Caenorhabditis elegans: one gene and its partners. The protein of the gene in region 1 interacts with the protein of each later gene in a pairwise test. Each region holds a gene or a part of one and is shown in the gene's direction. Other genes may lie near its edges.

What was found.
Region 2: the proteins of paic-1 (region 1) and fut-8 interact in a two-hybrid assay, tested with the Caenorhabditis elegans proteins (one large-scale study listed by BioGRID).
Region 3: the proteins of paic-1 (region 1) and jip-1 interact in a two-hybrid assay, tested with the Caenorhabditis elegans proteins (one large-scale study listed by BioGRID).
Region 4: the proteins of paic-1 (region 1) and nphp-1 interact in a two-hybrid assay, tested with the Caenorhabditis elegans proteins (one large-scale study listed by BioGRID).

What each region holds. Positions count from the first base shown.
Region 1 is NC_003280.10:4,368,123-4,375,591, reverse strand, and holds paic-1 (Phosphoribosylaminoimidazole-succinocarboxamide synthase), read left to right. Parts: upstream 1-3,066; 5' UTR 3,067-3,076; coding exon 3,077-3,172; intron 3,173-3,684; exon of another isoform or gene 3,685-3,754; intron 3,755-3,958; coding exon 3,959-4,447; intron 4,448-4,744; coding exon 4,745-4,921; intron 4,922-5,249; coding exon 5,250-5,534; intron 5,535-5,578; coding exon 5,579-5,779; intron 5,780-5,821; coding exon 5,822-5,845; 3' UTR 5,846-5,967; downstream 5,968-7,469. Other genes in the region: ntl-2.1 (NOT2/NOT3/NOT5 C-terminal domain-containing protein), read left to right, coding at 244-363, 894-1,024, 1,098-1,224, 1,275-1,428, 1,490-1,705, 2,190-2,646; try-9 (Peptidase S1 domain-containing protein), read right to left, coding at 5,974-6,189, 6,281-6,408, 6,454-6,643, 6,797-7,102.
Region 2 is NC_003283.11:5,985,938-5,993,338, reverse strand, and holds fut-8 (Alpha-(1,6)-fucosyltransferase), read left to right. Parts: upstream 1-3,086; 5' UTR 3,087-3,108; coding exon 3,109-3,196; intron 3,197-3,267; coding exon 3,268-3,394; intron 3,395-3,893; coding exon 3,894-4,382; intron 4,383-4,433; coding exon 4,434-4,503; intron 4,504-4,567; coding exon 4,568-4,647; intron 4,648-4,735; coding exon 4,736-4,826; intron 4,827-4,874; coding exon 4,875-5,300; intron 5,301-5,692; coding exon 5,693-5,792; intron 5,793-5,845; coding exon 5,846-6,054; 3' UTR 6,055-6,268; downstream 6,269-7,401. Other genes in the region: C10F3.7 (DUF7808 domain-containing protein), read left to right, coding at 6,491-6,587, 6,633-6,729, 7,377-7,401. UniProt on the Caenorhabditis elegans protein: Catalyzes the addition of fucose in alpha 1-6 linkage to the first GlcNAc residue, next to the peptide chains in N-glycans. The addition is prevented if the GlcNAc residue is already fucosylated.
Region 3 is NC_003280.10:1,323,822-1,330,825, forward strand, and holds the start of jip-1 (PID domain-containing protein), read left to right. Parts: upstream 1-3,173; 5' UTR 3,174-3,179; coding exon 3,180-3,275; intron 3,276-4,015; coding exon 4,016-4,228; intron 4,229-4,845; coding exon 4,846-5,006; intron 5,007-5,592; coding exon 5,593-5,750; intron 5,751-6,502; coding exon 6,503-6,667; intron 6,668-7,004.
Region 4 is NC_003280.10:10,647,559-10,655,443, reverse strand, and holds nphp-1 (Nephrocystin-1-like protein), read left to right. Parts: upstream 1-3,187; 5' UTR 3,188-3,214; coding exon 3,215-3,283; intron 3,284-3,805; coding exon 3,806-3,904; intron 3,905-4,157; coding exon 4,158-4,300; intron 4,301-4,356; coding exon 4,357-4,885; intron 4,886-4,935; coding exon 4,936-5,166; intron 5,167-5,344; coding exon 5,345-5,844; intron 5,845-5,922; coding exon 5,923-6,035; intron 6,036-6,080; coding exon 6,081-6,316; intron 6,317-6,377; coding exon 6,378-6,506; 3' UTR 6,507-6,551; downstream 6,552-7,885. Other genes in the region: lact-3 (Beta-lactamase-related domain-containing protein), read left to right, coding at 43-188, 755-840, 1,544-1,607, 1,807-1,944, 2,680-2,865; M28.10 (Flo11 domain-containing protein), read right to left, coding at 6,921-7,351, 7,496-7,580, 7,632-7,757, 7,818-7,885. UniProt on the Caenorhabditis elegans protein: Plays a role in the extension of dendrites from phasmid ciliated sensory neurons. May be necessary for initial assembly of the cilium.

The sequences.
Region 1 (7,469 bases):
GTAAATTCACTGATTTTTTTTTATTAGCTTGAGAATATTCTTAAATCTATGAAAAACTCACTGTCGAACTCTCATTCTTATTGTTAAATGGAAAAAAATTAAAATTAAAATATTAAATTTGACCTGCTTGTGTGGAAGTCCACGGAAATGTTTTCCTTGAATCTTTCATCCTTTTTATCAATATTTAAAAAAAATTAGAACAATTATTTCATTTCTCAAGGCATTTCATCGATTTCTATTCAGGAACGTCCTCACTCGGCGGCGGCGGATTCTCCCCAATCCCAACAACGAGCGGAGGTGTTTTGAACGTTGCCCAGTCATCGCCGTCGAGAGATCTTTACGGCGCACAAAGACCCAATTATGGTAAATTTTACTTTTTTCTCTTTCTGTGTGATGAAAAGCATGAAGTATCAAAAATTAAAAAAAAAAGTACGATAGCTGGTTGTGAACCGCGAATATATATTTTTTTTTAAATCAATTTTTGTTTGCTCTTTGAAAATGCGCGCGCGCGAAATTCTGATTGAACATTTTAAAAATTACAATGCGTGTTTCATTCTGTTTTGAACGCAATTGTGCAATTTTTCGATGTTGGCAACTTCTTTCCGTGAGTTTTTAGGCAAAACGCAAATTTTCTGATAAAATTTACTCATTTTTACTGCAAAATTCCGATGAATTCGAGAAAAAACCGCCGAATTCTTTTGGAAAATTTTATTTTTTATTTAAGAAAAATCAATATTGAATGTGTGCAAAAGTCCGTGACGGTGGTTGCGTATTCCATGATCGACCGTACCCCGCAGAGATTTTTCGTTCAGAATTTCCATAAAAATTCTCCGAATTTTCGCAGTTTTTGTCGTGTTCCTGTGTTGTTAAACCATGCAAAAATTAATTTTCAGCTAACCTGATGAGATCGGACCCCAGTCTAACAAATCCCGAGTTCCAAATACAGAACGAGGATTTTCCCGCGCTTCCCGGCGTCGGTTCTGGTCAAACACAGCGATCAATGCTTGGAGATCAACTGGCTAACGTACTTAAATTTAATTTAATGTCAACAAAATTTCTGCGTCGATGACAATCAAATAATCGATAAATTATTGCAGATGTTAGCAGACGACCATCAAGTCGACTTTGCTGGACCCCTAGGCGATTGTGACCCCTCGCGGCTCAGCGGGATATCAAGAAATAGTCAAGAAGGACCTATGCATGGGATTATTACTCATCCTGATGGTGGGAATACTTTAAAAATAAGCATTTAAAATAATAATTGTTAATTTCAGGCGAAGTGACAAACATTCCAGCGTCAATGCTTGACGATCAGTTTGGGATGGCGGGTTTGGTGACATATCTTCGGACAGTTGACAATCCTTCCATTGTTTCACTGGCGTTAGGTTATGATCTTACGACGTTGGGCTTGAATTTGAATTTGTCAGAGTGAGTAGTGGCCTGAAAAGCCCGAAAAGCCCAGAAAAACTCTAATTTCCCTCTGTTTCAGACGAAAATTGTACATGAACTTTGGTGGTCCGTGGGCCGATTCGCCGATTCGAGCACACGAGCTCGACGTGAAGGTGCCCGAGGAGTACATGACGCATAATCATATTCGAGACAAACTTCCACCGCTGCGATTGAATAAAGTTTCAGAAGACGTGTTATTCTATCTTTTTTACAACTGTCCAAACGAGATTTATCAGGTGGCGGCGGCGTGCGAATTGTAAGTAAAGTTTATTCCAAAAACCTGCATCGACCATGACCGCGAGCGGAGCGTCGTGTTTAAAAAATTTATTTTAGTTTTTTTTTTTCCCCGAGAATTTGTGATTTTCATGAATTTACATATGAAACGCATAAAAAATTGGCCAAAATGATAGAAAATCACTCGTTCTGGGCGAAAAACTTTCAAGAAAATCCGCTTTTTCGTTAAGATCGCATAATTGTTCATCATTTTAGTTGATTCTTATTTCGCCTCATATATAAATTTATGAAAAATCATGTGAATCACGCGTTCTTAGCGAAAAGTTAAAATAAAAATTATTGAGCCGCTCCGTTTGCAGTTACGTCGCGGTCGAAGTTCACGAATCAAATTATTAATAATTTTAAAATTTTAGCTAGAAAATTGAAAAAAACATATATTTTATGTTAGCAATTGAGAAAATCTTTTTTATCACGAAACAATCATTATATTTTCAAATTTTTTGCAGGTACGCTCGCGAATGGCGATTTCACAAAAGCGAACAGGTGTGGTTGACGCGTTCTCAGTACGGTGGAGTGAAAGAACAGACGGGAAATTATGAAAAAGGGCATTACAACGTGTTCGATCAGATGCAATGGCGAAAAATTCCGAAAGAGTTAAAGTTGGAGTACAAAGAGCTCGAGGATCGGCCGAAAATGCCGCAATCAGTTTCCGGACAACCGACACCCTACAAATACTTTTTCCAAGGACCACAATTTCCGAGCGGTCCGGAGACGGGTCTGATGCTTCAGATGCATAACTTGACGCTCGGCACAGGTGGCGGCGGTGGCGGACAAATCACTCCACCGGCACCAGCGGGTCTTAACGGAGTTATGGGTGGTGGTGGTGTTGGAGCAGCTGGAATCGGAGGAATCAATGTGCAACCGGGAGCCGTTCCATCGGCGGCGCGAGCTACTCCAAACTAAACAAGAAGAAGATGATCTCTCGTGTGCAAATTTTCTATATCCCACTTTCGTCATCTTGTTCTCGAATTGCTCCCTTTCTCTCTCATTTTCCATCTCTTTTTCCCCTCTTTCTCTCCACATTTTCTCTCCCAATCTCCCATTTTTTTCCTTCGTTTTCCTTATTTTTCCTCTTTTCTCTACGTTTTCGTATAAACGATTATCGATATACACAAGTTGCTCTTTGAAAACCTGTGATTTTTCAAAGAAAGAGCTTCACAATGACTGGCGGCGGCGGTTTTCTCTGTATTTTCAGTGGCGCAACACCGAACTGATAAGACGGGGAAAAAGGCTGAAAACAAGATGTTTGTCGATGACAAACTCGCCTACAAGGGGGTTCTGATATCGTTCCGTGATAGCAACACAGTTTCATTCGATACTATTATTGTTTGTCATGTCGTCGTTGGCTGAAATCGCGTCGAGACCCGAAAACTTGGAGCTTCTTGCTGAAGGAAAAACCAAGCAAATCTTTGATATTAAAGGAGAAAAGGTTGGTTTTTTTCACTGAAAATTCAAAAAATTTGGGAAAACATTAATTTTCTACTAATTTTTTAATGCTTTATAGATTAAAATTTAGATATTTTAAAAGCGCCTTTTGAAATCGTGATGCAAACGCGCTCCGCGAGTAATCTGACAAGCTCCGCCCCAAAACGTTGGGTCTCGTTGGGAACGTGAATTTTTGACGATCTCACCCAATTTTTTTTGCATTTTTCAACATAAAAATCGTTAAAAACAACGAGAAATGATTGGAAAGTGCTGGAATCGGCAAAAAAGTAGGATTATACGGTTTTACCGCCAATACCTAACGAGACCCGGTTTTCAGTTATCCGTGGCGCGCTTTTGCAGCCCAAGTCACATTTTTATGCGTCTACATAATATTCAGAAAAGCGTGTCCTAGAAACACGAAAACTCGGCCAACCGAATTATCAGAAGAGATTTTTCAGAAGTATGCTCAAAATAATCTTTGAAAGAAATGTTCGGTTTTCACTGTCGGTGAGTGGCCGAGGTTTCACGTTTTCTAGGCCACGCCGCAAATAGCCAGCTTGTGGCCTAGGAAATGAGAAAACTCGGCCACTCTTTCAGCACATTTTTCAAATACACGTACGGAAAATTTCCTGTAAAAACGGTGTCTGAGCTTTCACGGAGCCTAGAAAAAACTCGGTCAATTTCGTAAATTTGAAATCTATTTGAATTTTTCCGTTTGGATTGCGATAATAATGTGCTTTTCAACAAAATTGAATCCAACTTTTTCAATTTCTGAACAAAATCTTTTCAGGATTATGTGCTCATTCGTTCCAAAGATAGCTTGACCGCATTCAACGCTGTCCGTAAAAATGAGCTTGAAGGAAAGTCTAGAATCGCAAGTAAAACCACATCAAACGTGTTTGAATATCTTCAACTTCTCGGTCTACCAACACACTTTGAAAAAAGCATCTCTGAAACTGAATTTGTCGCCCGTAAATGCACCATGATTCCGATTGAATGGGTGGCACGACGTGTTGCGACAGGATCCTTCTTGAAGAGAAATCCTGGAGTTAAAGAGGGTTTCAGATTTAATGATCTGAAATTGGAGACATTTTTCAAAGACGACGCTAATGATGATCCACAATGGACTGATGAACAAATTGTGTCGAATGGTTTGATGATTGATCATTTGAAAATTGGAAGAGAAGAGATTTCATTGATGAAGAAGATGACAAAGTTGGTGTTTAGAGCATTGGAGAAAGGATGGGCTCTTTCAAATAGTGCTCTGATTGATATGAAGGTGAGGGTGTTGCAAAGTTTTTATTATTCTCTTTTTTTTTATCGGTCTCAACTTTAAAAAGTAAACATAATAAAAAGTATGTAAGTTTAATGTTCGGTCTGCAATATATTCGTTTTGTAAATATTTACATTTTGAAAGGAAATCAGCACCATTTAAAACTGGGTGTTTTCTGTAACGTGTCGATTTACGCAGCTTGAGTACTTCACGAGGAGAAGTGTGTTTTTCTTTTCGCTGAATTTTACAATTGTCGGTTGTTGTAATTTTGAAATAATTTTGAAGAAAACCTGAAAATTCCAGATCGAATTCGGAGTCACAGTTGAAGGAGAAATTCTCCTGGCCGACGTGATTGACAATGACTCGTGGAGAGTTTGGCCTGAAAATGATAGACGTCTGCAGTTGGATAAGCAAGTTTACAGGGATATGAAGGAAGTGACAGAAGAGGGGTTGGCTCTCGTTTTGAAGAATTATACAAAGGTTAGTAGGCCGAAGCTTAGGCCTAAGCATATGCCTATGCCTGAGCCTAAACCAAAGACTAAGCCTAATCCTAAGTTTTAGCCTAAGCCCATGTCTAAGCATAAGCCTAAGCCTAAGCCTAAACCTAAATTCAATCATCCTATATATCAATTGTTAGATTTTTACGCGAATCAAACCTTTCGTGTAAGCACAATAACTTGCCTGCCTGCAAGGCGATCTGCACCTGATTTCTGCCAATATGCATACCTACAATTTTCGGTAGACACGTTGAGTAGGTAGGCAGGCACATAGACACGAAGGCGTATCTACCTACCAATAACATTTCCAGGTTATGGATATCACTGCCACCTTCTCAAAACACCAGCAAAAATGCCATGTTCTTGTGATCATGGGATCTGGTTCGGATGGCGTATTCGCACGGAAAATCTCTGATGAAGCCAAGAAATTTGGACTGGAAACTACGCTGAAAGTAAGCTCAGCTCATAAAACTACCTCGGACACTCTGGAAGTTATCGCTGATTTCGAAGAAAGTGGAGTTCCGACAGTTGTGATTGCAGTAGCTGGAAGATCCAATGGACTCGGTCCAGTTATTGCTGGAAACTCGTCTCTTCCGGTAGGACTTGAAAGATCAGATGATCTTTATTTCAAAGAATTCAGGTGATCAACTGCCCGCCACCAAGTGAATCAACGAGTCTTGACATTTGGTCATCACTCCGAATGCCGAATGGAATCGGGTGTACTACAGTGTTGGACCCATCGGAGGCCGCGCTTGCCGCCGCAAAAATCCTCGCGTCTCACAATCATATTGTGTTTGGAAAAGTGCTCACTGCACAGCTCAAGAATCAAATCAACATTTACGTAAGTGATAGAGATGTGAATTTCTAATTTTTGAACTTTCAGAACGCCAATCGCAAACTTGAATAGATGCAGGACTGAATTGAAATCAGATTTTTCAAAAACTTTCTTGTGTAAATTAACTAATTACTCAACGTTCACTTTTATTTCAGCATTCTTATATTAAAAACGAAATGAAATGTTTGAATCTTAAACTTTCAACTGCACATTCCACAGCACGTGCAGAAGAAATCCACGTGTGCCGAGACATCCACGAGAAGATCAGTCTCTTGAGTCAGCTGTCTCCGTTGCTGACGTTGACGATTATGGGTATCGTAGAGTTCTGGACAAGGCATTCCGGCTGACAAAACACCTACGAGAACTTGAACATTTCGAGTGTCCGATGTTCGGACAACTCCCGAGCCACTGTCACCCTGGAATCAGTGGAAACTATTAGGCATCTTGGGCAAGTAGGCATTGTTCTGCCTACTTCTGAAGAAACACTTTTAAACTTTAAAAACAAACATCACAAGACAATCCTCTATTCACTGCCGACGTACAATACACCCCGCCATATGGGAAATCGTCGGAGCACTCCGCAACAAACGAGTATAGCGATTTCAACTTTCCAGACTCCAAAACACTATCCGAAGCTGGAATTAAAAATTTCAAAAGATCACATAAAAATCGGAACTTACGATCTCTTCCATAACCAAAAAGCTTATATCCGGTTTCTCTGATCCTCGGGATCTTTGGAGCAGATGGAAGACAGGCTGGGAATATGTCTTTTGAGAATTCGATGGGTTCTTCCAATTCGAACACGGCGATGTCGTTGAATGATTCTCGATCAATGCAACCATCTCCGACATAGCCTTTTCGGATGTAGAGCTGTAAAGAAAATATGTGTTTAGTAAGACTAAGTGAGCCTACGTCTAAGCCTAAGCCTAAGCCTAGGTTTGCGTCTAAGACTAGGCCTACGCCTTAGCCTAAGAAAAAACCAAAGCCTACGCCTAAGCCTAATTGTAAGGGTAATCTACTCACCGACTTTATCGCCAGTGGCTTGAACATATCCTTCCTATGCAATCCCTTACACATCTCTGGAACCGCACATGTCACATTAACGAATGCCACGAAATTCTTATAGTCTCTCACGAAATACGCTTCTCTGAGATTTCCAGTATCACAGTCAGGCAGAGGATCCTCACTGATTCCGATCAAATGAGCAGCTGTTACAATATGCCATGGAGAGACTAATGTTCCGGTTCCATGCTGAACAAATTCATTTTCCGAAAACTTATTTCCGCCGTTTCTAAAAGATCCCGAGCCATCAGAAATTCGCTTCTTCATAGCCAATGAGACCGCCCATGGGGCTTCACCAATTTTCACTTCTTTACCGTACAATGCCTTGTATTCCTCAGAAGTTCTGCGATGAGAGGACAAAGTGGTAAATCCTGGCACATATCTTCCACAGTTTGCTCGTAGAATCCGGTTTTCTCGTGGGCTCAGCCTTTTTGCAAAGGTTTGGTAGATCAAAATTGAAAAGAAGAAGAAACATGAAAATGTAAACCAATTCATTGAAGAAATAACAATAATTTATGAAAACAGTGACCGGTAGAAGTGAGTGAGTGAGAGATGGGGAGAAGCACCATATACACCCCCAGAATTTTATGGGGGGGGGGGGATGTTTTATAGATCGTTTTGCGTCGGCAATAAG
Region 2 (7,401 bases), on another chromosome or scaffold:
GCTTCAGAAAAGCTTTATATTTTTGGTATCACTATGAATCGTCAGCCATATGTTCAGAGAGTTGCTGACTGAAAAGTATTAATTTTCTATCTAATTGTTTAAATAACATTTTTTGTAACCAAAGCGTTGCTTCTAATTAGAGCCAGCAATCTGGCAACATATCCGCCGCCTATCTCTGATTCATATTACCATCCAATTATGACACTAATTCCGTTGGACTATGTTTTCAATTCATACTTTCTCAATCAATTGCTATACTTTCCTTTTTTCCAGAAAGAAAGAAAACACCGTCAACAACTTTTCTAATTAAATCTTTTCAATTCATAAGAATTCTATATTTGTCTACATATATGTGTCAGGAAACTTGTCAACTTTCTCCAAGAGGTCGTATTTTTTTAACGATCGTATTTTATGTATTATCATTTCTGTCGCCTTGCTCTCAAAAGAAAATAAAAAAACTGTTGGTGATCGCTTTTCGCTTTTCCAATATGTTTAGTTTTCAGACGCACAACCATGCATTATTTTTGTGCTGTTCCTTCAATTCTTGATAGAAAATTGAAAAAAATAACTAAAAAACAACAAAAATGAAACTCCAAACTCTTTGTTGTTTTTTTCCGTGTCCTTTTCACAAGTTTTTTTCTTTTCCCATGTTCGGTTTCACTTTCAAGTACCACTTTATATTAAATATGCCAATTTCTCACTTTTCCCATCTTTTTTCATTTTTTTTTCGATCTGGTATCGATGAAGCCTTACCGAAAGCTTAGTATCAAAAACTTATTCGAATAAAAATTAATTTTAAAAGAGCTTTAGTAATCTCTTTCTCAAACTTCTTTATCTTTTGAGCTCCGTGGGAGTCTTTAGAAATGTTTAGCGATCAGAGGGAAGTTTTAAAAATTGGATTATAAGTTTCCAGAGTTCAAAACAAAAATAATCGCGTAGTAGAAATAAAGTAGAAACTAAAATTTCAGATTTTGAAAAAAAGTGGTGATACGAATGTTATTAATTTTTTTTCGATTCGTGGTTTGGAATAGTCAAAACGAAAAAATTATATATTTTTCTCAGATTTCTTTCCCAGTAAAATTCAAAATAACTTTTCGTTAATTTTTACTGATTACTATTTTTTTTGTGGTTTTTAATTTATTTATTTAAACAGCATTACTTTTCAAATCTATGAAATATTATAGCTTTTAGAATTCCAATGTCAACTCATTGTTCTAGAACTATTTGATGATTTTTCAGTTTTTAAACAAAACATTTTAATTGTACATATTTACATATATGTACAATTTCAAAACTTCTCATAAATCATGAAACATAAATATTTATTTGCTTTGATCTAAACTGTGATGCATATTAATATGCCCTTCAAATCATCAAATGCTCATTGCACATTAACCTTATCAGTACCTATAAAGTTTTGTACTCTTCTTGCAAATGATACCTATTGTTGCCACGTTCAGTGTCCTCTATTTCTCTCTTTTCATAAATGTTTCCATCGACATTTCGATTAGCATACATACATGACGATGAAAAATGAGCCACACTTCCTATTTTCCCATTTCACACACACGCCACGTATCATAAAGTCGCTGTCAATTTTCGTCATGCTCTGGTCCTCACCGCCGACTCGTTTTCTCTTTCCCAAAAATATTGAGAGCCACATTGTCTGCGTCTCTTCGTGCTCCGTCACACTCTATCGATTCAGATTTCGAGAGAAACTGAACAAGAAGAAGAAGAAGAAGAGAGCAAAGTGTGGAGTGTGCGTGTATAGAAGAAGAGGGATGAGATGGGAGAAGCCAACGTAGCGGGTTTCATTCATTACTTATTCAAAGCGGGGGTCTAGGGGACAACTACTCAACACATGTCTTCCGTTTGCTTTTCATTTTCATCAACTGTTTTTAATCGTCACACTTTGTTTACTTTCTGTCCGAGTATTCATTCAAATTAATTTTTCAGATTTTTTAGACATTTTCTTATATAGATTAAACTTTATTGCAAAATTTGAAAAAAAAAAAACTTCCCAACAAAAATAATCCTTCTAGGAAAAACCTAAAATGCTCTAAGAAGTAATAGGTGTTTATACTGAGTTTCTCTGATTTTCAAAGTTTTTTTTTTCAAATATGACCTCCTTAGAAGGATCCCATGGTGGTTCTTAATCAAAAACTAGATGTTTTCAATTTTCTGTTTGGCTCAAAAAATACCAAAAAAGTTTTGATGTACCATTGCTCAAAAATTTTGAAATTTCGGAGGTATTTTGCAAGATTATATTGCCAGGTTGACAACACCCCAGCAATTCCACACCAGGTTCGGTGGTTCCTATAGATTCCCACAAATTGACAAAAATTATACTTCTAGATTATAATCGAAAAAATAAATGTTTGTTGCTTTTTGGTAATGAGATATGGTAAACAACCCTCCAAAAAGTTTACCTGACCTTGATGCACTAATAACATCAAAAAAATGGAAACAACTCTGCTAAAGCGATGTGCACATATTTTTGCAATTTTTAGAAATTTTAGACTTCTGAAATTTCAGAATTTTTCACTCAAAGACTTAAAAAACTTCAACTTAAAAAACACCAAGATATAGGCGGAGCCTCTTTGGAATTTTTTTACATCTTCTCTTACAACTTATCAAACTCAACAAGCACCTCAAAAAGCTTTCCACTTTTTAATTAAATTCTTAATCCAGTTCCAACAGGTGTGTCCTTCATCAATTATTAATCACACGTGAAACCCCCTCACAGCTCGTTGAAATTGGATATCATAAACTGACGAGAAAGAGTCCAAGGTGTCATAATCCACTTTTCTTCCTCTTCTTCCCACTACTCTTCATCATTTTTCGAGTCTTCACAAAAAATTTGGAAGTCCTTGAATTCGATTGCTCCGCCTTTCTTTCTCAATTATTTTTCAAAATCTTAATTCCAAAAAATAACTCACAGTCTGTCGCTCACACAATTCGACACGCCACATAAGTTATTCCTCCCCAGTTTCCTTTTGTTGTTATCCTGTGGTCCTTACTCGACTTAATAATATGTTAGTTCTTACAGTACAAGTTTACTTTTATTTTAAAACAAAAAATTTCAGGAGCATCCCTGCCCGCTCCGAAATGTTAAAATGTATTGCGGCAGTGGGAACAGTTGTATGGATGACTATGTTTTTATTTCTTTATTCACAATTATCAAATAATCAATCAGGTTAGTTCAAATAAAAACTAATAGAGGAAATACGGTGAAATTTGTATTCTGTACTGAATTTTTAGTTTCAGGCGGTGATTCAATTCGAGCCTGGAGGCAGACAAAAGAAGCCATTGACAAGCTTCAAGAGCAAAATGAGGATTTGAAGAGCATTCTGGAAAAAGAAAGACAAGAACGAAATGATCAACACAAAAAGATGTGAGCTTTTATGTTTGAAATTCTGACTACTTGGAATTAAAATCTGATGTCAAGTCACACTAAAAACAAAAATAATCTTTCGTTTCAAAGAAATAAAAAAAGGATTGTCGCTAAAATGATAGGAAATTCTCTTAGAATTGCTTCGAGATTTGTATATATGACTGTACTATTTTTATTAGGAGCTTAGAAGTCTTAAATGAGCTTCTCAAAATTTGTCATCGTCAAAAAAATCTAGTTTGAAATACGAAAATTGAAGCCCATTTGAAAGAATAGATATGCTTAAAAAGTGAAAAATTGTTCAATTCAAACTAAAAGTGAAAAATTTTATTTTTCCAGTTATGGATTGGAAAAAAAAATTAAAAACTGAAAAGTCGAAAAAGGGAACTATTTTAAAACTAGTTTTTTCAAGAAATAAGTCTGAGATGTTCTAAAAATGCTTTCAGTAAAAAGTAAAAAGTTTCAGAAAAATGCATATATATATATATATATATAATTCCAGCATGGAACAATCTCATCAACTCCCACCAAATCCTGAGAACCCATCACTTCCAAAACCTGAACCAGTCAAAGAAATTATTTCAAAACCAAGCATACTTGGACCTGTCCAACAAGAAGTTCAAAAGAGAATGCTCGACGACAGAATTCGGGAAATGTTCTATCTTTTACATAGTCAAACAATTGAAAACTCAACAAAGATACTCCTTGAAACCCAAATGATCTCACTAATGGGACTTTCTGCTCAACTTGAAAAACTCGAGGGTTCCGAAGAAGAACGATTCAAACAAAGAACAGCAATAACTCAACGAATATTCAAATCAATTGAAAAACTTCAAAACCCAAAAGCATGCTCAGAAGCCAAAACCCTGGTGTGCAATCTTGATAAGGAATGTGGATTTGGGTGTCAACTTCATCATGTTACCTATTGTGCAATTACCGCATTTGCTACTCAACGGATGATGGTCTTGAAAAGAGACGGATCTTCGTGGAAGTGAGCTCTTGTCACCTTGTGTCTAAAATTTCAACGCTAAACCATTTCCAGATACTCATCTCATGGATGGACTTCTGTCTTTAAAAAACTTTCAAAATGCTCATTTGATGAAGCAGTTGGGGTATGTATGTTTTGAAATCTCCCTTGGGAAATTTTCAAACAAAAAATGAAATTTTTTCTTGCAGAACACGGAAGCTAAACCGTTTGCTGAGCCATCACCAGCAAGAGTGGTTTCCCTCGGAATTGTGGACTCACTGATCACAAAGTTAGTTTGAACTTGAACAACTACAAATACCAATACCAAAACCAATAATGTCTTTGCAAACTTTTAAGTTACATTCGCCTTGTTACAGACCCACATTCCTACCCCAAGCAGTACCCGAACAACTTCTCGAAAGTCTAACATCACTCCACTCACATCCACCTGCATTCTTTGTTGGAACGGTAGATTAATATTTTTATATTATATCTAAAACTTTCAACAATTTTCAGTTCATTTCCTACCTGATGCGTTTTAACTCTGCAACTCAAGAGAAGCTCGATAAAGCTCTCAAGTCAATTCCACTTGATAAAGGACCAATTGTTGGACTGCAGATCCGAAGAACTGATAAAGTTGGCACGGAAGCAGCATTCCATGCATTGAAGGAATATATGGAATGGACTGAAATTTGGTTTAAAGTTGAGGAAAAGCGACAAGGAAAACCATTGGAAAGGCGAATTTTCATTGCATCAGATGATCCAACTGTAGTACCAGAAGCCAAAAATGACTATCCGAATTATGAAGTTTATGGAAGCACTGAAATTGCAAAGACAGCTCAGTTGAATAATCGATATACAGATGCTTCATTGATGGGAGTCATCACTGATATTTATATACTCAGTAAAGTCAATTATTTGGTTTGCACTTTTTCAAGTCAGGTGAGAAATTTTTTATCTGAAAAAAATAATTGGATAAACGGGTTATTAGTGTGTACTATAATAAAATGTTCAGCTTTCAAGTTATAGTCCATGTACAAATTTTGATCAAAACCGGACCCATAAAACGGAGAATGTTAAATAATTTGAACTCCACATTTCGTTAGGTTGTAATATTTTCTAACTATGTCAGTCTCGGAGTTATTCTGGTTTAAAAATTGGAAATACACCCAAAAAGAGCCAGGCAGTTTCGTAGCTACATATAATTAGCAGGAAGTTTTGTTCACTAGTATTGTACATAGTAAAGCAAATAGACACTCATATACTTTTGACAAACTCAGAGTTTTGATGATTCTCACTAATCCTATGTAAAAGTCCACAAAACAAACTTTCAGGTATGCCGAATGGGCTACGAGTTACGACAACCATCAGGAGCTGACGATGGATCAAAGTTCCATTCACTTGACGATATATACTATTTTGGAGGTCAACAAGGTATGCATATAATAGTTACTGAAACAAAAGTATCTTAGTTTTCATAATTTCAGCTCATGAAGTAATTGTTATCGAAGATCATATTGCTCAGAACAATAAAGAAATCGATTTGAAAGTTGGTGATAAAGTTGGAATTGCTGGAAATCATTGGAATGGATATTCTAAAGGAACAAATCGACAAACGTATAAGGAAGGAGTATTCCCATCATATAAAGTGGTGAATGATTGGAGAAAATTTAAATTCGAAGCTCTTTTAGATTAGGATATATTTTATTTTTATTTTTATTTTCCGTATACTTCCCTTTTAGCTCTTTATTCATGTTTATCAATCTAGTTTTTGTACTTTTTATCGGGTTTATATTGACACCATCGTTATTCATTGCGGTTTTTCATTGGCAAATTTCTGTGATTATATTAAGCCACATCCGTTTATTGTTGTATTTTCTGTTGTTGAATTTGCAATATTTTTTTAAAAGAAACAATTTGAAAATTGTTGAAATGGGTGAGACGATCTTTCTTTCTATTTATGAATATATAATAAATGGTGAGATGTTTTTCTAGATAAAGTGAAATTTTTGGGTCGTCTGCTTAATATACAATCTGCCTAATATGTACACAAAAACCCGTTTTCAAAAGAAACACTGGGCTAAACTTTGATTAGTATAAAAGGAGTGTCCATTGACTGAATCTTAGAGATCATGAAACTTCTTCTAGTATTACTTATTAGCTCTTCAGTTGTCGTTGGACAACAAGTGGAAACACAGAAACCAGACGATTTCCTTTGGAATCGATGGGGTAAGTATATGAACGGTAGAGAAATCTGAAATAATTGCTTTGTAGAACCAAGAACAATTGATTGTGTGAGCAGTGGAAAGAAAGATGACTGTGTTCTTCTCGCACCAAACTCAAGAATTCCATTTGACATCACCAAATTTAAGTGAGTTTAAATTCAAGTGGGAGGATAATAAAATAATACAAAAATTTTCAAATTAATTAAAAATGTATCAAAACAAAGTTTTGATAATTTATTTACTTACTTACTTACTTTAGTAAATAAAAAGTTTTGGTAAATTGCCAAATTTTCAATTTTCTTGAAAATTTGGCAATTTTGAAACTTTTTTCGCATTTTCGCACCAAATGCTTAAATATAAATATCTTGAACATAATTAAAATACAAATTTTATATGAAAAAGTTAATTTTTTAATCGGCTTTTTAATTTATGATTGGCGAAGACTGAGTTGCCACCTTTGACTGTAAATGAAAAACTTAACAAATTTTTCCATAGTTTAACTTCACATTCAATATCTACTCTGCTAATTTGCATTTCAATTTTACCACCCAATCTTGTTGTTCTTTCGTCATGGTCCCATTTTCTCAAATTCAAATTTTTGAGCAGCTGCAAAACCGTTTCAAAAATTTTTGAATATATTAAAGCCGATCCTTGCATAAAATAGTCAAACTTTAAAATTAAACCCGCCGATGCGATGCGATGCGAAATCCAGGAATCCGGGAAAAATTTTATTTTCAGATTAATGCACTTTCTGTCCCTGTGGTGAATTCCAAACCTACTAAAAGTTTTCCAGATGCCGACGTGAACCAATGCCACAA
Region 3 (7,004 bases), 3.0 Mb from region 1:
TGAATTTAGGGATTTTTTTTTCAGTTTTTAGCTCTCAAGACACTGTTTACAGCAGAAGAGAAGTACAATTCATTTTATTTTTAAAAAAAATGCTCAAAAATGGTTTTTCCCTTAAATTGGTCTGCTAGACTACAAACTACACAAAAGAATTAGACCCAAGCTGACGTGAGTTTTGGCCGATTTTTGAAAGTTTTATCATGTTTTGAATGAATTGTGCTGCTGTGTAACAGATAATTTTTCAAATATTCAGTTTTTGTCAACATTTTGCGAAAATTAGAGCTTCGAAATGGGCCCCCCAAATTGGTCTGCTAGACTACAAACTACATTTTGTATTTAGCAGACCAAAATCTTGAAGACCCCGCGAAAAGTTGTATTTTTTCTCCAATTTCCCCTTCCTTTTCCTAATTGAATTCCGTGCAATTCAGTGCCCCCCACCCGAAGCTTCTTCTCTTGTCTGACCTAATTTGATCTACCGGGATATCGGAGTGTCGTAGTGCTGCCACGTCATTTTTTTCTGTGTCTCCTTAAATACATACTAATTTTCAATTCTAGAGAATAGGAAATTTATGTAGACTATTAATATTAATGTTTAAATAAATTTATGAGGAGGGTTTTGTGTTTTGGGTCTGCTAGGCTACAAACTACGAAAATTTGTTTAGCAGACCCATTTTTTTTCGATTTTTCGATTTTTTTTTTACTTAAAACTACACTTTGTCTCGTTTTTTAGCGATAATTAAAAAGTTCTGACTCAATTTTCAAATTTCCGGGGTACTGTAGCGCCACAAGTACGCAAACACCGAGCATCTTACGACAAAATGCACAGAAACTTAAAATTGTCTGAAAAAGATGGACCAGGGGGTAAAAAAAGGCCCTGAGTTTGAATTTCATAATGAAAAATTGCTAAAATTCATAGAATTCAAGTCATTTTTTAGTTTCTAGTTATCAATTTTAAAAAGTATACGTTTTTTCTAAAATTCCGCTGTAAACTACAAACTACATTTTGCCACGTCATCGTTTTATGCCCCATATCCACGTATTCATTAGAAATTCTGTAATTCCTGAATTCATTTTGGCATGCATTCTATCTATAAAAAAGAAGATCGAGAAGAAGAAGAAAATGAAAAAATTCGGCGTCTTCATGTGCTCCTTAATCTATTCCAACATTTTTTTTTTGGTCTGCCAGACTACAAACTACAGATTTAGAACTAGCAGACCTAAGCTTCTTGCTCAAATTTGAAAATTTCCGAAAAAAATTGCAATTGTTTTTCCAAATTTCCCGTTTTTCGAGAATTTGAACAATTTTTCCCGCGTTTTCTGCACAATTTTGACGTTTTTGGGTTACTGTAGCGCCAAAAGTACGCAAACACCGAGTCTCTCACGCGAAAATGCACAGAATCTCAAAATCATCGGAAAAAACAGTCCCAGGGGTGAAATGAGGCGCTGAACTTGAATTTGACAGTTAAAATTATCAAAAAATACCTGAAAACATTGAAAATTCAATTTTTTTAGTTTTTTCTTTCAAAATTTCTTTTTCGGAAGATATATTCGCCTGGAAATAAATTATAGGGCTATATATTAAATTTCTAACATTTTTCTTATGTTTCCTGCTCAAATTTGTCTTTTGGGGGGTACTGTAGCCCCAAAAGTCCGCAAACACCGCACACCTTACGCGAAAATGCACAGAATCTCAAAATCCTCTGAAAAAAGTGTTCTAGGGGTGAAATGAGGTGCTGAGATCGAATTTCAATGTGAAAAATTATGAAAATCGTTGGATTTTGAGAAATTTTTTTGGTTTTTCGAAAAAAACCTGCACCTCCCCACCCCCCCCCCCCCCCCTCTTTCAGGGGGTACCCCTTAATCTATTCCCACTCATTACTACATCTTTTTTTTGCTCTCATTTTCTCTGCGTCTCTCACTTTCACATACTATCTCGTCGGGAGATTAGTGTGAAGAAGACGCTACCCTCAGAGAGCAGGAAATGCGCGGAATTTATTGGAAAATGTGTGTGCTCTCTCGATGAGGGAAATGGAGTGAAGAAAGGGGGGGGAGGAAATTGAGATAACATGTCAAAACTCGTGATATGATATAGCCAATAACATTGGTGAAAATTATAAGCCAGAAAAAAACATCGCAAAAAAAAATTTTTTTTAGCAATTTTTCCCGAAAATCTTTATTTATTCAATTTTCATCAATTTTTCATGCTAAAATTCGAACTCAGCACCTAATTTTACCCCTAATCCATCCTTTTCCGACAACTTTCGGTTTCTGTGCATTCTGTCGTAAGGTCCGGTGTTTGCGTACTTTTGGGGTTACCGTACCCCCGAAAAGTTGAGTTTTTGGCAAAATGTTTTTTTCTCGAAAATCTTTATTTTATCAAGATTTTTCCTGATTTTCATGTTAAAATTCAAACTCAGCACCTTATTTTATCCATACCACACCTGTTTCCGACATTTTTGAGATTCTGTGTTACCGTACCCCGCAAGACTTAAAAATTGAGCTAGAGACTCGGAAACAAGACTTTGGCTGGAAAATTTGACAAAAAATTCGTAGGGAACTTCAATTTTGATTTAAAAAAGTTTTTTTGGAATTTCGGGAAAAAAAAATTTTAGAAAATTTTTTTTCCAAACTTATTTTCTTTATTTTTCATTTTTCACTTTCTCAATTTTTCATCTAAAAATTCAAATTCAGGTCTTGATTTTACCCCTACCACGTCTTTTCCGGCAATTTTGAGTTTCTGTGCATTTTGTCGCAAGGTCCGGTGTTCGCGTACTTTTGAACCTACAGTACCCCCGCAATACTCGAAAATTGATCTAGAAACTCGGTAAAAAAGGCTTCGGCTGTAAAATTTGACGAAAAAATTGTTGAGAAGTTAAATTTTGGAAAAAAAAATTATTTTTGGAATTTCGGTGAAAAAAAATTTTTTTTTGGAATTTTTCAAGAACAAAAGTTTTGAAAATTTTCTGAATATTTTTTCCATGATCCCCTTTTTTGAGTTGTTTTTCAACGCAATTTTCTCTGCACTCTCTTCACTCTCTCATCCACTCCATTCATCATTTTTTCCAGCGCGCATGTCTGGAACAGAGATTCACTTTTATTTTTCCTTTTTTCTTTTTTTTTTTTTGCTCCAAAACTTCTTTTCCACTACTTGAAATTTTAAGTCTTAAAAATTTCAGCACAAAATGAGCGCATTTGAATGTCGAAAATGCGATGATTTTCCGATTGAGGAGAACACGGAGGACGAGGATGATGACGAGTGTCCGACGGTTATTCGGAGGGTAGGTTTTTTCAGGAAAACCGTTGATTTTTAAAGGTTTTAACTATAAAAATCAAATTCAGCAGCGTTTTTTTGCTCCTAAACCGGTTTTTTTGCAAAAAGCAACAAAAAAATTAAAAATTTTTTTTTTTTCAAAACTCGAAATTTTTCTCGAAAACCAGCAACTTTTAAAAATTTTCATATCAAAATTCAAATTCAGCGCCACTTTCTACCCCATTCCCAGCTTTTTCAGCCAATTTTAATTTTCTGTGCATTTTGTCGTAAGGTATGGTGCATCGATTTGTGTTTGCGTACTTTTGAGGCTACAGTAATTCCAAAAAACTTAAAATTGAGCCAGAAGTTTAGAGAAAAACTTATTAAGGGTGAAAAATTACGGAGAATCCGAATTTCTTAATAAAAATTGTGAAAAATTTCAAATTTCTACAAATTTTCCAGTAAAAAATTTTCTCGGCAAAAAAACGCAACTCATTTTTGGAATTTTTCACACCGAATTTCATTTTCAACACAATTTTTTACCCCTCAAACACCATTTTAAGTCAATTTCAAAGCATTCTGCATTTTGTCGTAAGGTGCAGTGTTTGCGTACTTCTGGAGCTACAGTAACCCAAAAAATTTCAAAAATGAGCTAGAAGCTCGAAAAAAAAAAGTTTCCAGGGTAAAAAATGTCGGGAACTCGATTTTCATATCGAAAAACCAAAAAGAAGCCTCTAAAACCTCCAAATTTCCTGAATTTTTTTCCAGTCCTACTCAGCCGACTGGCTGCACAACGACAATTCCTCTGGAGGTGATGACGATTCAGAAGAGGATTCTGACGCCGAATTTCTGGTTCATCCGTGTCTTCGGAGTATTATTAAATCGAAATCCGCTTACGCAGTTCCCCGTAACTCTGATGACGTTGCAGCGGCGGCAGCGATGAAAAATAACAGAATTAAGCCGAGCAAAACAAGCTTTGAGGTGAGCTGGATGAGGAGGTGGTGGTGAAGATGTAGTTTGTAGTCTTTGTAGTTTTTGTAGTTTGTAGTTTATAGTTTGTAGTCCGTCAGACCAATGTTTTTTAGTTTAAAATTGATTGAGTCTGCCATTTGCAGGTTCATAGTTTTGTGTGGTTAGATCTGTTATTTCGAAGTTGGTAATTTATAGTTTGTAGTTTATGGTTTGTAGTTTATAATTCGTAGTTTGTAGTTTGTAGTTTGTAGTCTGTAGTGTATAGTCCATCAGGCCAAAATTTGCAAGTTTAAAATTGATTGAGTCTGTCATATGTAGGTTAATAGTTTTGTTTGGCTAGATCTGCTATTTTGAAGTCAGAGATTTATAGTTGTAGTTTGTAGTTTGTAGTTTGTAGTTTGTAGTTTGTAGTTTCTAGTTTGTAGTTTGTAGTTTATAGTTTGTAGTTTATAACTTGTAGTTTGTAGTTTGTAGTTTGTAGTTTATAGTTTGTAGTCCGTCAGACCAATATTTGCCAGTTTCAAAATGATTTGATCTGCCAAATTTAAATTTTTTGTATATATTTTACAATTTATAGTTTATAGTTTGTAGTTTGTAGTCTAGCAGACCAGAACACCATTTTTCAGATTTCCTTATCAAAAATGATGGAATCAACGAGTAAAAGCATAGCGGAAGAAGCAGAATACTCAGTAGCCGACCTACTTCCGACACTTGATGAAAAATGGCCGGACCCTGAGGAAGAAAATGAAAATTTGAAGTCAAAGCGGCGGAAATCCAATATTATGAGGTGAAAATTCGAATTCTCCATCGTTTTTCACATGTTACCCGTTTTTTCTGGGTCTCTATCGTTAATTTTGAGACTTTTGGGGTACGGTAGCCCCAAAAGTCCGCAAACACCGTGAGCGTGACGCAAAAATGCACAGAAAAACTCCGATTTTGCTGAAAAAGTAGAGATATGGGTAGAAAATCATGCTGATATTGAGTTTTGGCATGAAAATTGTTGAAAAATCATTTTTATATCGCAAAAAAGGAACATTTTCCCTGTTAATCCAAATTTTCCCCCTTTGAAACATAAAAATTCGAATTCCTCACCATTTTTCACTTCTAGAATACTTTTTTTTGGAGTCCTAGCGTAAAATTTGAAAATTTGAGGTTACTGTAGCTTGAAAAGTGCGCAAACACCCAGCATCTTACGACAAATTGCAGAAAATCTTAAAATCGGCTGAAAAGGCGGGTTTAGGGGTAAAAAATGACGCTGAGCGTGAATTTTGATATGAAAAATGTTGAAAATATCTAGATTTTGTGAAAATTTGGAAAATTTGGTTCAGTATTGGTCTGCCAAAGTCCAGCATACTCTAAACTCAAATTTCCAGGTACTCCCCGAGCCTATGTGACTCTGATCTATCACTGAACCTCCATGATAAGGATTCTGAAGATGATGAGGATCGTATTCTAAACCGCCCGTCCGGATGTTGGTCCTCGCCGCCCAACTTCTTCGATGAAACATTTCGCGGTGTTTCTCCAATGAATCGTTAGTTTGTTTACTGTAGTTTGTAGTCTAGGCTTTACTATAAACTACAAAAATTGGTTGTGAAAAAATGTTTTGAAATATCAAAAAAAAAAAAGAAAAAAAATCGAATTTTTTCCCAAAAATTTCAAACGAAATCAAATTTTGACGTTAAAATTCAGATTCCTCGCATTTTTTCACCCTAGACCCATTTTTCCTGGTGTTTCCTGCTAAATTTTGATCATTTTGGGGTACTGTAGCCCCAATAGTACGCAAGTACGCAAACACCGAGCCCCTCACGCGAAAATGCACAGTTTTCTGGAATTGCGTAAAAAAGTTGGGGTAGGGGTGAAAAATGGTGCTGGAAACGAATTTAATAGTGAAAATGTTTTAAAATCGGCAGAAAATATAAAAATTTGAAGAAAATTTTAAAAGTTGTTTTTCAAAAAAAATTTTATCCAATTGTTTTGCACAAAATCAAATTATTAAGTGAAAATTCAGATTCCTCGAATTTTTTCACTCTAGCACCATTTTCCCCCGTGTTCTCTGCTCAATTTTGACCATTTTGGGTTACTGTAGCTCGAAAAGTACGCAAACACCGAGCCCCTCACGAGAAAATGCACAGTTTTCTACAATTGCGTAAAAAAGTTGGGGTAAGAGTAAAAAATGGCGCTGAAAACGAATTTTATAGTGAAAATGCTCGAAAATCAGCGGAAAATCCAGAAATTTTGAATTTTTTGAAATAAAAAAGTTTGAAGTTAAAAAAAAATTTCCAGAAAAGTGTTGGTCAGCACCGGATCTCGAGGATATTGTGTTCAAGACATGCAATGTGTTGTATAATTATGACGTCATCGGCGGCGGGAAAATTCCAATTTTGAGGGAGCTAATCGACGAGGACTCCATTGCAATTGGGTATCCAGTTATAGAAACACCTGATAATGGTATGTAGTTTGTAGTTTGTAGTTTGTAGTCTGCTAGATTACAAACTACAAATAAAATTTGAGTTCATGGCACATGTCCCCTTAGTTTTCTGGAAAACTTATTTGGGAAATTTTGAAATTTTGAAAATTAAAATTTTTTCCAAAAATTTGAATTTGCAGCCGACCGCATGGTGCAACTGCGCTCCACGGATAATTTTGCAATTTTTCGAATTTTCTGAAGGATTTTAAAGCTGTTTCACTGACAAATTCAAATTTTCCGCCAACCAGATCAATAAATAAGCAGTTTTCTCATTAGAGCACACTTGCAGCACGCGGTCGGCGGGAAATTTGAGTTTTC
Region 4 (7,885 bases), 6.3 Mb from region 1:
TTTTTCAAAACTAAAAAATAATTCAAAACCTCCTATTTCCAGATGTGGACTATCACATTGGCCTCCCAGTCTCAGAACAACATCGTGTCGCCCGTATCAGTACACCAAATATGCTCAATCGTCTTGATGAGATGTGGACGGATGTCCGTGTTGTCAAGTACATGAAATCATTGTTCAAATTGATGACGGTATGGTTTTTTTGTCAATGAAATGAATGAAATTATCAGAGTGTTCCGGTACTTAACCGGGAGTCCACAACAATCAAGTGAAATTGCAAATAGTTTCAGTTTTTGTGTGTTTCCGATTGTTCTAGTACCGGTATACTGCAGCACCGCTTATCATGTACCAATCATATGATTTGGGAATTGAAGACACGAAACATGGAAATATATTCTATAGAATGAACTTTTGTTGTTTATTTAAATAGAAAATAGTTTCAAATGCGGAAAAGTAATTATAAAAAATATACAGGAACACTATTTATATCTGACGCACAAAATATCTCGTAGCGAAAACTACAGTAACTTTTTGAATTACTACTGTAGTTGATTTATTTCTTCATAAATTATTGGTAAATCGATAAAATATTGCAATACAACACAAAAATTACAACAAAAAAAAACTTTCAAAAATCGCTACAGTAGTCTTTTTAAGATAGTTTTCGCTACGAGGTATTTTGCGCGTCAAATATGTTATGCAGTACGCAGCCTCAGAATTTAGTGCTCCCGTAATATATATTCATGTCATTTTTCAGGATCATCCACTCTCACACATTGTCAAAAATCCATCATGGCTTGAAGCAGTCTCCAGATGTACGATCAATAATCCAGATTATCATCGGTACGAGAATTGCCCGGAAAATCGAAAAAAATGTGTTCAGAAAATTAATCATAAAATTCACGTTAAAAAAAGTCAAATTTGATGGAAAATACATGAGGAAACATATAAATTTATTCTTAAACAAATACAAATAACCAGCATTTTAAGATATTTTTCGTAAAATCGAATCGGAAAAAACGGAAAAAAAAAAAAAAAAACGAAACATTTTCAATTCCGCTATATTTCATTAAAAACTATTGGCTAAAATTCAGATTTCAGCAAAATTCGGTTCTTTTTTCGAAGTTTTAAAATATTTACACTCCATAAAAGTTTTGGCTTTTTTTGTGTAATGTCGCATTATGAAATTCGGTAGTTTCGAGCAAATTTTTGTATATTTACGCAAAAAATTCTGTTACCCAGATCCGAAACTTTGCTATTTTCCCCCAAAAAATACACTACCAGGTCTCGAAGCGGCCGATTTTCTCCAATGCCAAAATTTAAGGATTACTGTAGTTTCCAAATCCTCGCTTCTTTTTGGATTTTTTACGATGTTGCATGTGAAAGTATAAAAAAATAAATGAAATGTTTTAAAATGAGAATTCAGAAACTGCCGTACTCCTTAAAAGTCGCTTCGAGACCTATTGTCATAGTTTTGAGACAAAATCTCGCATCTGACCAATATTTTATGCTATTTCATTTTTTAAAATTCATGTTTTTTTTCCAGATTGGAGCAAGCTGCCGCACTTGGAATGGGAAATGCTCGTTCTCTTGCCTCACTTTTTGACAAGGTTTGTTCTCGTTTTTTTGATAAATTTATGAGAATTTTAAGTTTTTTTTCGTTTTGTTTGAACATCGTTATCAGCTGAAACTAGGCTGATAGCGAAGAAAAGAAATTTTTAAGTCGAACAAAAAAAAAGAAAAAGGAAATTTCCTTGTGACTGTTTAAAAAAACTGAAACAAAAACGATAGTTAAGAGGATTGTTTCAGGTAAATCGAGGAAAACTTCTCAATCAGGCTACACTGAACACGATAAGCAAACCGTTCGTCAACGAGAGTGATTTCATTTTTGATGATACTGTCGCCAAGGGACACGGATTTTTCCATTTGCCCATTCATAGAGCTGGGGTGAGATTTTGAATAATCGAAAGAGGGACGAGGGATGATGGAAATTTTGAACTGAAAAATTTTAAAAAATCCATTTTCACAATAAAAAAACCAAAAAAACCAACAAAAGTCTGAAAAAACTCTTAAAGAACGAAAAAGTCAAAATTCATCCAATAAAGCAGATTTTTTAATTTTTGCCAAAAAAAACTTTTAAAAAATCCATTTTTGCGAAAAAAAAAACCACTGTCCTTTTTCCCATAAAAAATTCAAAAAAATCAATTTTTCTCAAAAAAACCCGAAAAGTACCTTTTTGCTAAATAAACATAAATTAACAAAAATTAACAAAAATTAACAAAAATAACAAAAATTAACAAAATTAAAAATAAATTAAATAAATAAACATAAAACATAAACAGCCAAAAATTAATTTTTGCATTAAAAAAGACTGAAAAATCCATTTTTGTAATAAAATTACAACTGCCGAAAAAAGCAAAAAAAAAAAAATTTTGAAACCCCCAAAAAATTAGCAAAGGACCAAAAAAAAAGAGCCCAGGTGGTGAACAGAAAACGAAAAAACAGGAGAAATTGTTGAAAAACCATTAATTTCGAATTCATTCAAAAAATGAAAATGCATAGAAAAAATATTTAAAACCCTAAATTTAGCTAAAGAACCTGCAAAATGTTAGGAGCGTTTTTTTATTTAATTTTCAGTGAATTTTTTTAATATTTTTCTTTCATAATTCGCCATATTTTCAGACTCAATTCGGCTTCGGACATACCGGGCACGGATGCCAAATGGTCATCACAGATCTCAAGAATCGAGTGACAATTGCCTACGTCACAAATGGGTTGAAAACGGGACTCTACGACTTGTGCAGGACGTACTGGGGACTTCAGACTTCTGTATATGATGTCATCGAACAAATTAATATTCAATCATAATTTATTTTATTTCATTTTTTAATTAGTGATTCCATATAGTTTTAAGATATATCCCAAATCATCCCGCGTGTTCTTTGTACAGTCCGTTTTTAATTCATTCATTCCAAGTGTCGTTCTCTCAATGTTGAAGCTTCTTCCCCCGTAATTAACTGACCGAGTGACCCCACAAAATTGCATATTTATCTGCTCTCTCTCGATTTCCTTACTAATAAACCATCAGTTCACCAGTTTTTAACCACATTTGCGGGGAGCTGGCAGGTGGTAACCCGCAAGTTGCCAGGGGCAACGAGGGTGGCTTAAGGCAAGTGGCCGCGCGGAAAAGAGCTTTCCAGGGGGAGAGGAAAGCAGGATGTCCATATTTGGAAGCATTCTAAGTCTGCAGGATGCCATAAATCGATTTCCGCAGTTTGAATATCAGGTGGGGAATATTAATTGTTAACACGAATTTGAAAAGGAATTCGATTTTTTTCAATTTTTGGATTTTTTTGTAATTTATTTAAAAATTATTATTGTGAATTTTTTAATTTTTCCATTACACATTATTAAATAACTAAAAATTGAATTCGTGGTTTATTGTTCATTTCCAACTAAAAAAATCCCTTCAATACCCAAAAAGTTGCAGTGGGGCGCATTTTCAACGTTTTAATTAAATTTCAAACGTATAATTAAAACTGAGTCTCGTCACAACAGATTTTTGTTAAATGCGGAAAGGTGTGCGTCTTTAAAGAGTACTGTAATTCAAAATTCCAGAATTTTTTTTAAATTTAATGTACATATTTTCATCTAAAAACTATTAAAAAACTAAAAAATTCCTCTGCAACGAAAGTTTGGAATTACAGTACTCTTTAAAGGCACACAACTTTTCGCATTCGACAAAAATTGTCGTGTCTAGACCGTAAACCGTATTTTCAAGGAAAAATAGCAAAAGCCTTTTTTTCAGATAAATCGCCTCGAAAAAGAGCAAAAAGACACCGAAGCCGCGTCGAGAGCAAGTTTTCGCAAACATTTTGTCAGACAGTGCCAGGAATTGCATAGACAGGTAAAAATTGCATTTTCTCTATCTGCCTTATGCCTGGCTGCCTACGGGCCTACCTACCGCCCATTATGGGATCTCCGGTTTGATTCATAGATTTTAGGTCGACCAACTTTCTATTTAATTTCAATTAATTGTTTACAAACATTGAAAAATTGTTAGGCATATGTGTAGACCGTAGGCACTCTGGTAGGTAGGCATTCTCGTGCCTACGTAGAAGTATCATTCAAGGATATCAACATATGCATACAGTTTGCAGCTCGACGATCACCGAAATCGAATTGAAAAGGCCAAAACTGACGAGACCTACAAGAAAGAAAACGCTCTAGAGCAACTTGACAAGTTGAAGCAAAGATTGACAGCTTTGAGCCCGGAAAAGGAGCAATTATCGTTTTCTGTCAGGTAAAATTATAATTAAATTCAATTTCTCTAATAAATAGTTAAATATTCAATTCCAGTGTGGACTCTCAATCAGAAGAAGAAAAACCGAAAATGGCTGCAATTGGCCGCCGAAAAAGCACAATGTATAACGATGATGAATCAGAAGATTCTGATAATGATTCAGAAATTATTGAGACGGATGTTCAGCTGGATGATCCTCTTCCGAGTCAGCCACAGCCTCCACAGCAACAGCACCAGCAACCTCAACCAAAACCCAGACAACCTATCACAATTACAAAACCTCTTGAATCAAAGACTTTGAATGAACGTCAAGAACTTGATGAAGTCATCTCAAGGCTTCAGAATCCGAGTCGTGGAGATTCTGGAGAAGTTATGGAACCAGTTGTAGTCCGTGGCAATGTTTTTGTTGCAATTGACAGTTGGGATGCAGAAGCTGAAGGGGATTTGGAGTTAATCAAAGGAAAGAAGTATCGAATCACACAGACAAGATCCGATGGTTGGTGGACTGCACTGGATGAATATGGTCAGAGGGGTCTTGTGCCAAAGACTTATTTACAACATGTTAAGGAAAAGCCGAAGAATGTGGTTTGTTACTTTTCTCTAGTATCGTTAGTTTAATAAGTAGAAATTTTCAGCCATCAAAAGTGTCTAGTCGCCTCGGAGTTCGAGATTCGGTGATCGGAATATCTACGACTACTGATCCATCAAGACGAGAAGCAAACCGGCAGGCATCTCGAGTTGATGACTGTCTTGGTAAAGCATATGACAATGACACTCACTTGTCACTAGTGTGCCATATGGCTCCGAGACTATCAACTTCAAATATTGGATTTCATGATCTTTTTTGGAGTCATTACAAGGATCAGGTAAAAGTTTAAAACTTGCAGTTTCTACCCAAAAAATGCTACAGTTTTGCCAAAAAACCTCTGAGTCTTCCTAAAAACGGCTGAGAAAATTGCTTTAAAAATTTTTACTATGAATCATTTGCTACTCATAGCAACACATTTTTTGCTCACTTTCATAAATCAACTATATTTTTTGCAGGTTTACAAGCGAACTGTCCATATATCAAAAATTATCCGTCTAGTTCGATTTGAAAAGATGCCCCTAATCGAACACAAGGCACTTGTCAGAATGGCTCTTGTCGACATCACAAATCCAAAATCCACTCAAATTGTGAGCAACGTGCACACTCTTGTGCCACGTGTCAAATCTTCAACGTGGTACTTTGAGAAAAAAGAGAGCCAGACGAGAAGCTGCATCGAGTTTTCTGATTTTGTTCTCCGCTCAAACTATCGATCTCCGACAGTGGTACTTGTTGTGGAAGCATCTCATTTGGTGAAGACACAAATAGGAATTGAGGAAAAGAGTTTGGGACATACATATCTGCGACTGATAATTGATGATAAAGCAGTGCCAAGTAGAACGAATGTTTTGTATTTGGATGATGAAGTGATGACAAAAATGAAGTTGCCGGAAGCTTCGAAAAGAAGAGTTCTGGTTCAAGTGATGGATGTTCCCAAGGATAAGGTTTCATATGTGGAGTGAGTTTTGGAAACTAAGAAAGCTGAAAATCTGGATCCCTGACCTGACTTTAAGTTCAACCCAAATTATTTTTCCAGCTCCCTCCCCGATGTCATAGTATTCAATGCTCTTTATTTACCATTCTTCCACTTTTACCGCCGACGAGCTGGAACCATTTTAATTCGGGACAATCGGAATCCATTGAGTGCTGGTAGGATTTCATACCCACCCAAACAATATTTTGAACTAATTTCAGAATTTATATCTGACCCACTTCTCTCTGTATTCCCATTTGTTTGTGACCAGCATGACATTATGGATATAATGCTGAAAATTTGGAAAACCAAAAAGAAAGTGCTCGCCAAGAAAAACGAAGCTGAACAAACTGCCGAGTTCTTCCAAACTTTTCTACACACCGCGTTTTTTATTCATGGGATTCGAATGATTTCGTATGATGTCAAAGATGATCTTACTCTTTCGATTAGGCAACAGGTAGAGCTGCTGCTCTTGGAGCTCGTTTCAAAATCAGGCTTCGATTATTGTAACATTTCAGACTATGCAACGATTTGTGGATGCATTGAATAAGGGACTTTTCAAGCAGTTCATCGCAGATCAACAATGCAAACCAATCAATATTATCGATTATTCATTGGATCTTTTAGGCAATCATTCTATTGACTAATTTATGGAGATAAAATTAAGCTCAATAAAAAATTTAACTGTGTAATAAGTTCTACTCATCTAGCATCTAAGCATAGAAATGTTTCAGTCATTGTTTCAGTAAATTTCAAGTTTTGAAATTTTTGGTTTTGAAATTTTTGGTTTTTTTGTTTAATATTTGAATAATTTAGAGTCGACTCCCAAACATAGGAGTGGTAAAACTGAGCAATGGCCATTTTTCAGTTGTAAATTTTCACACTGTACCCTCTCAAAAAATGGATTTGAAATGAAATATGTTTATTCGCAATAATGAATAAAATTGGGCGATTTTTCAGAATCACAGCCTCATCGAATTTATTCCATTAAGGGGTTTTATTACATCATGAAATTCTGCGAGCTGACGATCAGGATGTGGTTCTGAGAAATCTAAGAGTTCCTAAACTGGCTTGCCGCTGATTACAGTAGCGGCAGCGGAAGAAGCTTCAGGTGCGGCGGTAGAGGCCTCGGAAGAAGCAGCGGTTGATACCACAGAAGCTCCACTTGCAGTAGTATCTCCACCAGCTGTGGATGCAACGGATGCATCGGTTGCTCCAGAGACAGTAGAACCTGGTGCATCAGTACTCACTGGAGCAGCAGTACTTCCACCAGTCGGCTGAGTTCCTTGAGACACGGTACTTCCGTTGTCAGTCACAGGGTTTACAGTGGAGACATCGCTGGCAGTTGTGGATGGAGCAATGGTAGACGGAGCAATAGTGCTTGGAGGTGAGAAGCATGTGTAGCTGGAGTTTACATTTTGTTGGAAGCAAGAAATTGAGTTGTAAAGCAATGTGGCGGTTGTGTTGGCGTTTGCTGATGCGGTAAGTAGGTCTGGAAATAAAATGGAATACGGGAAATTTCAAATGTGAGAATTGAATTTAAGAGCACACCTGGTCAGAAAAATTTACGAACTCCAAAAATATATGCATTAACTTAAAACTTTTAAACTACAGTACAGACTTCCTGCCTATTTACCTGATGCATTATTACTAGCAACTTGAACATTATCATTCAAGCTCTGACCAGTTGCATTGACCACTGTGAAGTTCGCATTAAAACCCTGAAATCAATTGCTCAATAGTCTAGAAAAGCTTAATTGGCACAAATTTACTTTTGTGAAGGCACATGCACCGGTGTCATTAAATTTCAAAATTGTGGAATCCAATTTTGAGAGACTTGAAGCAATAGTTGCAACTTCATTGTTCAGGGTTTGTTCATCGATAGCTTGAGCCACTTCCTGAACGATTTCAATTTGAGAATTTCAGTACTATGTGAAAATGTATTGAAAATGTGTCACCTTGGGAACCACAAGTTGGAAGGTACATTGTCCATTTTGGCATCCGTAATTGAATGATGAATCGAAGG